Linked DNA regions of Danio rerio. The protein of the gene in region 2 purifies or fractionates together with the protein of the main gene of each other region. This does not show direct contact. Links are inferred from orthologs where the notes say so. Each region holds a gene or a part of one and is shown on either strand. Other genes may lie near its edges.

The links.
Region 1: the proteins of nek2 (region 2) and anapc1 purify together in Homo sapiens (affinity purification with mass spectrometry; 3 studies listed by BioGRID and IntAct, with this or other methods). This does not show direct contact. The link is inferred for Danio rerio from reciprocal best matches to the Homo sapiens genes NEK2 and ANAPC1.

Annotation. Positions count from the first base shown.
Region 1 is NC_133188.1:50,698,497-50,703,034, forward strand, and holds the start of anapc1 (anaphase-promoting complex subunit 1), read left to right. Parts: upstream 1-1,507; 5' UTR 1,508-1,690; intron 1,691-4,538. UniProt on the Homo sapiens protein: Component of the anaphase promoting complex/cyclosome (APC/C), a cell cycle-regulated E3 ubiquitin ligase that controls progression through mitosis and the G1 phase of the cell cycle.
Region 2 is NC_133195.1:15,127,321-15,131,224, forward strand, and holds part of nek2 (serine/threonine-protein kinase Nek2), read left to right. Parts: intron 1-258; coding exon 259-481; intron 482-2,779; coding exon 2,780-2,834; intron 2,835-2,991; coding exon 2,992-3,068; intron 3,069-3,784; coding exon 3,785-3,904. UniProt on the Homo sapiens protein: Protein kinase which is involved in the control of centrosome separation and bipolar spindle formation in mitotic cells and chromatin condensation in meiotic cells.

The DNA.
Region 1 (4,538 bases), on a different chromosome or scaffold from region 2:
GCAATGTGCGTGCAGTAGATCGCTCAGATTACATTGGGAAAACAGGCGACTGCTGCAAATTGTGCTTTAATGTTTGGCTGGTCAACTGTATGGTATGGAAACCTTATATACCTGCTGAACCCGTCTCATACAGCTCCCATTGCAAGGCTTAGACACTTTGTAGAGAAGAATTTAACACAACTGCCTCTAGGAGTCGCCAATGGAAATAAAACAGACACGCACAAAAAATGTGCGTACGCCAGCCAGAAAGCTGCCGTGAAGCTGCGCACATTCCCACGTTCAGTTCATTGTTAGTAAATCCAAACGTGAGCGATTCTGAGCGTGAAACCTGGCGTACGCAAAGTTTTTGTGCGTACGCAGCGTTGATACATGAGGCCCCAGGTGATTTTACAAGAGAGTTAAAGGTAAAGGCCTACAAGTCTTTGGATGCCTACAACGTTGTTCTGTGTGGTCATGTGCTAGAAATAATGATCCATGATTACCAGATTCAAAACTATGTAGTGCTAAAAACCGAGGTTCTGCCTAGCCAAAGACAAGGAAAGAAGACGGAGCTGTACAGGGCCTGGGTAATCATCAACAAGCAAAACTACTGCATTCTGACAGCGAACTTCACCTGTACGGCAGAGTATGTGAATGCACATGTTTACATTTCATTCTAAGCATTCAATGTCCGCAGTTAAATTCACCATATATAACCGATTTTGCTGAAATCATTGCTGCAATCAAAAACGAGTAATGTGTATAATTCATAATAGCGTGAACTTACCTGATAGGAAATGAGAACTGCAGAGTCACGCATTTTTAATTAGGTCCTCACTCCATTCAGCTCTTATAATGGCTGTTAGCCAATAACATCTGCGGTTAAAAGCAGTGTGGTGTACAGTAAAAGTTACGTTTTCTATTTTTGGACTTACAAATTTGGTATCCTATTGCACAAATCGACATGTTTGCTATTGCAGCTGGTCCTTTTTTGCAACCACTATGCGCGGTTAAACCCTTGTGACGTAAGTTGGTAATTCCCCTATAGTGCATGTGTTTGGACGGTGGGGAAACCAGAGCACCCGGAGGAAACCCACGCCAACATGAGGAGAACATGCAAACTCCACATATAAATGCCAACTGACCCAGCCGAAGCTTGAACCAGCGACCTTCTTGCCGTGAGGTGACACTGAGCCACTGTGTTGTCCCAAATAATAATACAACATATATAAATAAATACAATAACAAAAATGAACAAATAAAATAAATAATAAACAAAGCAAAATAAGTAGCAGGGCAGTTGAAGCCCACAAATTAATTATCTTTTATCTCTCTTATTGTCTTCAAATATATCACAATTTTTTGAATTTTTGGGGAAATCTTGAAACATGTACATTTATGAATATCAAATATCAACAAAATATTTAGAATATAAAATAACCCCAAAAAAACCCCGCGTAAAACCTGCCTGCTTTCACGCGCTTCCTGGACGCAGCTCTCCGATTGGTCAGACACCCGGACGTGCGTCACGGGATAACAACATGTCCGCGTTCATTTGAAACAGAATAGTGTGCTCGGTTTGCTTTTCACCGCATACTTTGATGAGTTTGTACGTTTCTCCAAGTGAGCAGGAGATTGCAGAGGGAGAAGCATCTGTTAAAGGGAAGGACCGCACTCCAGGACTGGAAGATCGACTATTTGTTATTATCAGGTGAATATCGGAGCGGATGTTGCTAACTTAGCTGTAGCGCCGCGGCTAATGCTGACAGCATGACAGACCGGGTTTATCATGAAGTTTTACATATAATTATCATCAGAAAAAGAGCTCATGTACAGTGTTATCTATGTTTTTACTTACTGATTTATTGAAAGGGTTAATCGCACATCATAAATATATCTGCTAACGTTATTTGGCGAACGATAATGAATTGAATTGTCTCTTAATGTCGTATTTTTTAACGTTACTTATGAAATTGCGTGAACAGTTGATGTGCAAGTACATACTGACAGATATTGAGCTAAATTAGGGTTTATATTCAGACTTTTACCATTTCAATATAATTTTCAGAAAAGTATTCTTTGGTAATTCTCAAAAGGGAAATTACATTAGCTGCCAATGTCTATCAGTACATCATTGTTACTGATGTCTTTGCATTGTCTTCTATCCATCAGTGACAGTATATCTTTTTAAATCAGATTCATTTACAACATTTGGTTGAAACATTTAGTTTCAGTTTGCTGTTTTGTAGTTTAACATTAAAACAAACTACCCCCAAAAAAACTGCCTCTCTTCTATAAATGGATGGGGGGCCACCTTTTGCCTGCGGGCCCTAGTTTGGGCATCTCTGATATAGGGACCGTGTTCAAAATCTTCTGAACTGAACAAATGTGCGAGTATAAACTTTACATCAGTCTGATAGATTGACAAAAGTAACCCTAATATATGACAGACATATATGTGACAGATATTTGAGCAGACAGGCTGTGCAGGCATGAATATTTGGCAGTATATTTTTTGTAATGTATTGTAATAATGATTATATATGTACAGTTGTATAAAATATATTATCCCACCTACGAAATGAATAATTTTCCAATCAAGTGTTGTTAAACGGGGTAAAAATCTTTTTAAAACTTTTTTTCCCCTATCATAATAGTTTTAATAGCTAATTTTTTTGTTTTTGTTGTGATGACTGCATATTATTTTAGTAGTTATTTTGTAACAGTATTATTCAGCTTAAACTGCAATTTAAAGGCTTAACTGCGTTAATTAGGTTAACTAGGCAAATCACTGGATAACCATGGTTTATTCTGTAGACCAGTGGTCACCAAACTTGTTCCTGGAGGGCCGGTGTCCTGCAGATTTTACCTCCAACCCTAATCAAACACACCTGAACAAGCTAATCAAGGTCTTACTAGGTATACTTGAATCATCCAGGCAGGTGTGTTGAGGAAGTTGGAGCTAGACCCTGCAGGGACACCGGCCCTCCAGGACCGAGATTGGTGACCCCTGCTGTAGACAATCAAATTTTAGTTTTGTAATGTGGCTAAAGTTTTTACATTAAGAAAAGATGTGTATTTTCAATCCAGCCGAACTAAAAGGAATACGACTTTCTTCAGATGGAAAGTTCTTGCTCTGTTAAACATCACTTGGAAAATGTTTTAAATATATAATAAAATTTTCTTATTGGAACTATAGTCAACATTTGAAGCAGATCAGCAAAGTTAATCCAAGTTGTCCTAAAACAAGGGTAGGTATTGTTTAATCCACATTTTGATAGCTTTATTAAAAAAGGAAACAAAAATGAATATACAGTTGGGGAAAATAAGCATTGAACACATCCTGTTTTTTTCCTAGTAATAATATTTCTAAAGGAGCTGTTGACATGGAATTGAAGTAGATTTTGATTATAACCCAAATAATACAAACATAAAAATTAAACAAAACAATCTGATAAATGAGTTATCTGTAATAACAATGAAATGACACAAGGAGAAAGTGCTGAACTACTGAAATGTATTTAATGCTTTATATAAAGATGTTTTAGTGATGGCAGCTTAAAGACGTCTCTCATATGGAAAATAAAGTCGCATGCATTGCTCAGGTGTGAGTTTTCTCACAGACTTCAACAGAGTGTGAAATTCTTGATGGTTCTGTGGGTCTCGATTGTCAAATCTGACCTTTTTTCTGTATTTTCTATCGGATTCAAGTCAGGTGATTGGCTGGGCCATTCTACAGCTTGATTTTCTTTCTCTGAAAGCATTTGAGAGTTTCTCAGCTGTGTTTTGGATCATTGTCTTGCTGAAATGTCCACCCTGGGGTCCGTTCTTCGTACCTCGCTTAAATGATCTAAGATGATTTGGCAGATCCTGGATCTTTTAATCTTGATATCTGATCTCTCGCTAATTTGGTTCTTCAAACAAGTTCGCGAATCAGATTAGAATGTCTGGATGAACTGATCTGAGATCGCTGCGTGTGTTATGAAGGACAGATCTATCGATCCTCGAAATCATGATCAGCAATGCAACGATTGGCTGACGGCACAGCAGCGTAATGACATCATCTGATTAATATTCAATTATCCATGTGAGCAAAATTACATCAAATTAGCAGTAAACGGTTTGTGAAATATGACACGCAAGGACTTTCCACATTTGTTATGAGCTGCTTTACACTTTCATTTGTCAGGACAAGAGTATTCATCATGTATTTCCATGCAAATCAATGTATTTAGTTCTTCATTTAGAAAAGATTTTCTTTATTATAGTAGCAGTTTTTTTAATCGGTGTAAAGAATAACTGGTTGTTTACAAAAGCATTTTCATATTGGTAAAGGTGTCTGCAACTTTTGTGAAGCATCAAATCACTGGCATATTAACTGTCAAAACATGTTTATGACTGCATTAATGTATTATTGCTTTAAAAAAAAGTCACATATTCTGCATTTCTATTATACACAATTTGTACTAAAGCGATTTAAAAAGTTCATATCAATAAGTTTTCTCTTTGCACCACCAGGTGGCAGTCTTTGTACTTTCATTTCGATGGTAAAGATTGCA
Region 2 (3,904 bases):
TTATATAAAAATAATATTACATTTTGATTCCATGCCAACTTTATAGCACATTTTAATTTAAGATTATCAAACAGATTGCTCTGAGGATGTCTGCCTGCATGTTTTAGCATATAATTACCATTTTCATACATTGGCTGAATGTTTGAAACATGTTTAACACATCGTTAGCATGTATTTTTACTTCAGATGTTGACTACTATATATTGCAGAATGTGTTTGGGCACATCCTGACTGGTGGTCTTTTTTTTTTTTTGTCAGGACTATCTGAGGCCCTCTGTGGAGTCCATCCTGCAGAATGGTTTGATCTCCGGTTACGTGGCCCTCGAGCAGAAGAGGCTCCAGGAGAAACAGCGGCGCAGATCAGATGAGGCAGAGCAGCCCAAACATCCAGAGTCACCACTTCTGGCAGAGCTGCGGCTTAAAGAGCAGATTCTCCGAGAGCGAGAGCAGGCCCTCAAAGAGCGAGAGCAGCGGCTAGAGCGTAAGCACACTGTTGTTGGCCTTCTGAAAGCTAAAGGGACAGTTCAAACCATTTTATTTGTGTTATGATTTACTCATCCTCCACTTGTTCCAATCCAACATTTGTTACTTTCCTTTGTTAGATCTTTTCAGGAATGTTTCAAAAAATGCCCATAGACTGTTTTCACACAGTCTCCATTTTAAAAGCAAAATCGAGGCTGCGGTGGGAAGAAACCCAAAAGTATTGCCTGGAGCTGCACAGAGATGTTGTGTAGCTGGCTGTAAATCTTATGAGCGAAGAGAAAGTGACACGAATTTATTATTTCACCCCCTTTCGAGTGACCTGAAGGTCTGTTCTGAATGGATACTAAAAATAAAGTTGATGAACTAATTCTTTCACTGTATCAGACCTATCACAATACTGAATTTTGACAGTGAAAAAATTTTAAGGATTTAAATTTCCAGCTAATAGAAGTGCTAGAATGTTCTTAAACGCAGCTGATTTGCCATTAGTGTTCACTAGTGCTCAACATAAATGACTGTGATTGGCCGTAAAGGTCATCAGTTCACTGCTGTTCACTGATGTTTACCGAGTGCAAACACAAACTGGCAATCGACTAATCTTTACGGCTTTAAGACACTCCAGTGTTTCTATATTTTTGTTTGTGAGATACTTTTACCATCTCACTCGTGGCAAGTTTAGGCGAAGGAATGTTTACCAAGTAAAACTCAGACAGTTTAGTTTATTCTGCTTTAAACCTGCAGGAAAATATCAGGGTTTGCTAAAAGACAGTTTATTTTACCATCAATCAGGGTCAATAATGGTAGCCTAGTACAGATTTCAAAGAAAAAGCCTAATATTAAAAAAGGAAACATAAGCTGGACCACAACAGATCAGCATCAAGTTTTAGATTGTGCCATCTACTATATACAGTAGACTTACAGGTCTGTTATTTTTACTAAGGAAGATACATTATTTGAGCCCCAGAACTATAGAAACTGTATTAGGTTTTAAAAAAATACATAAAAAATACGGCACAGTATCGGGATTGGGTCTGTATCGATCGATACTCAGTTTTAGTATCAGGATCGGATCGTTTCCAAAAAATGGTATCGGTGCATTCCTAGTAGACTGTTAGGTTGGGGTTAGGGTAAGTTGACATGTACTAGCAAAGTTTCTTATATAGTCAGTAAAATCTATGTTGAAGGAGCAGTATCAACAGATATTAATCAGACCGGACCATCAAAATAAATTAAACCATCAAAATAAAGTGTTACCAGTGGACTTTCAATGAAGGAACGGAAATTGGCAGAATCCATAAGTAACTTAATTTCTTTTCAGAAGACAAATAAAAGCCCTGTGGTTTTGGAAAAATTAAAGATTTTCATTTTGAAATGGATCATTATCATTTACTTGCTGTTATCAAATGCTACATCTAAAAATATTAATTGTCCTAATTTACCCACTAATTAACTTTTTTTCATTTCACTCATTAATCAAACCCACAAGAATTTTGATCCTCCTCACACAACTGAAGACTTTTGTTAGATTTGTCTAGATTTGTTGTCTGTCAGGTGAGCAGATTTGAGTTTGACCATATTTGATGTGCTACAGTAAATCCATCGATGTTTAAATGGAATTAATATCCCCAAATAAATCTATTCAAGTGTGTCTTCAGGAGACTTTAAAGGTCCTGTGAAACAAAAAAAGTTTTTTAGTTGTTAGTTAGTTTTAAGGACATCAATTAGCTATTGTTCTCCAAACAGTGACATAGTTTTCCTTTAAAAATGTTAATTTGATATAAACATACAAAGCTTGAAGTGTCACCGCAGCCTAAATGCATCAACGTTTTTATCATGTCACCTCATACTTCAGTTACTCATCAGATCTTCACCAATCAAATGCTCTCTAGTATCTGTCATGCCGGCCTGCCCCCTTCAAGACGCTTCTCGTTTGCTTTTCATTTGATGCGCTTAATCACTCTCACTGGATTAGCTGTGATCAAAACAAAACACCATTGGCCATTATGTCCCACCTTCTCTTCATTTTTCAGTTGAGATTGTCAAACAGTATACAAAAGCCTTTCTCGGCACATTTAATGATTAGGTTCATATATATTTTTGTAAGGTGTTTTGTTGGACTGAACATCAGATTGCATTAAAATAGCTTTATTTGTGTTGGAGTGTTGAAGAACAAAAGTCTAAAGGATTTTTTTGTTTGTTTTTAGGTGAACCTTTAGTTAAGAAATTCTATGCTTTTGGTGTCTAATGGTTTACCTTGTTTTTATTATTTTTTTAATTATTTTTTTATTTTTTGCAGAAAGGGAACAAGAACTGTGTGTCCGAGAACAGCAAACTAATGAAAAGCTGGTCAGGTAAATAATATAAAGCTAGCTTTTGCTAATTTGATCATGTGAGTGTAATAGATATTAGTAGCTAACATTAGTAGTGAGCATCAAAAACCTTGAATACTACTACACGTGTATACGGTGTTGATAAATTCATTATTATGGGTATGTGTGTGTACGACAGAGCCGAGAGCATGTTGAAGGCGTTTAATCTGATCCGACAGCAGAGGGCGCTATCTCTGCTCAGCGCCAGCGACACAGGTATTAATCTTTTGTGTTGTTTATGCATCTCACTGGTTTCCTTCACTGCACAGCTTTCTGTTAATGTATAAATGGCTGATATTTTTATTATGTACACTACTGGTTAGTTTGTAATAGAGATTTTTAGATGAAGTATATGATCTACAAAGACCAAGGCTACAAAAATACAATAAACATCATGAAATATAAGTGTTTAAAGTAGCTGTTTTCCATTTGAAATATTCAATGTCATTTTCTTATTCATGTGATTTGTGAACGTTTTATTTCAGCATCATTACTTCTGTCTTTATCATCACATGATCCTTCAGAAATGGTTGTTGTTGTTGTTGTTGTTTTTAAGGACACTAAAGGTTCATTCGAAAGATTAGATAACAAGAACAGAAATAAATTCTTATCAGACATTTCTGTTTTAGTTGTTCAAGGATGCATTAAACTGACCATTCTCCATTGATTTGAACAACTATTTGGGAGCAATAATATATAGTATGATAAATGAGCGCCTAATAAAATAAGCAAATGCTAAAAGGGAGCTAAGGAGTGAAGTGTGCAGTGGAAAGGCAGTGTGCAATAACCACTAAAAACATGACTCAGCTGAAATTTAAGTAGCCCCTTGAGTCATCATTGTTTGAGCCACAGATATTATAATGAGAGGGAAACAATTAACTATATGTGGTTTTTCGAAAACGAATGAAAATTCTCATTTTGCGTTTCAACAGAGAATGAAGAGAACATCTCTCCAGGGAAAAAGAGGGTTCACTTTGCAGGAGACGGGAAGGAGAACGGCAGACTGATCATGAAACCTCAGGAGCACATCCTTGAGAAGAGACACCAGCTGA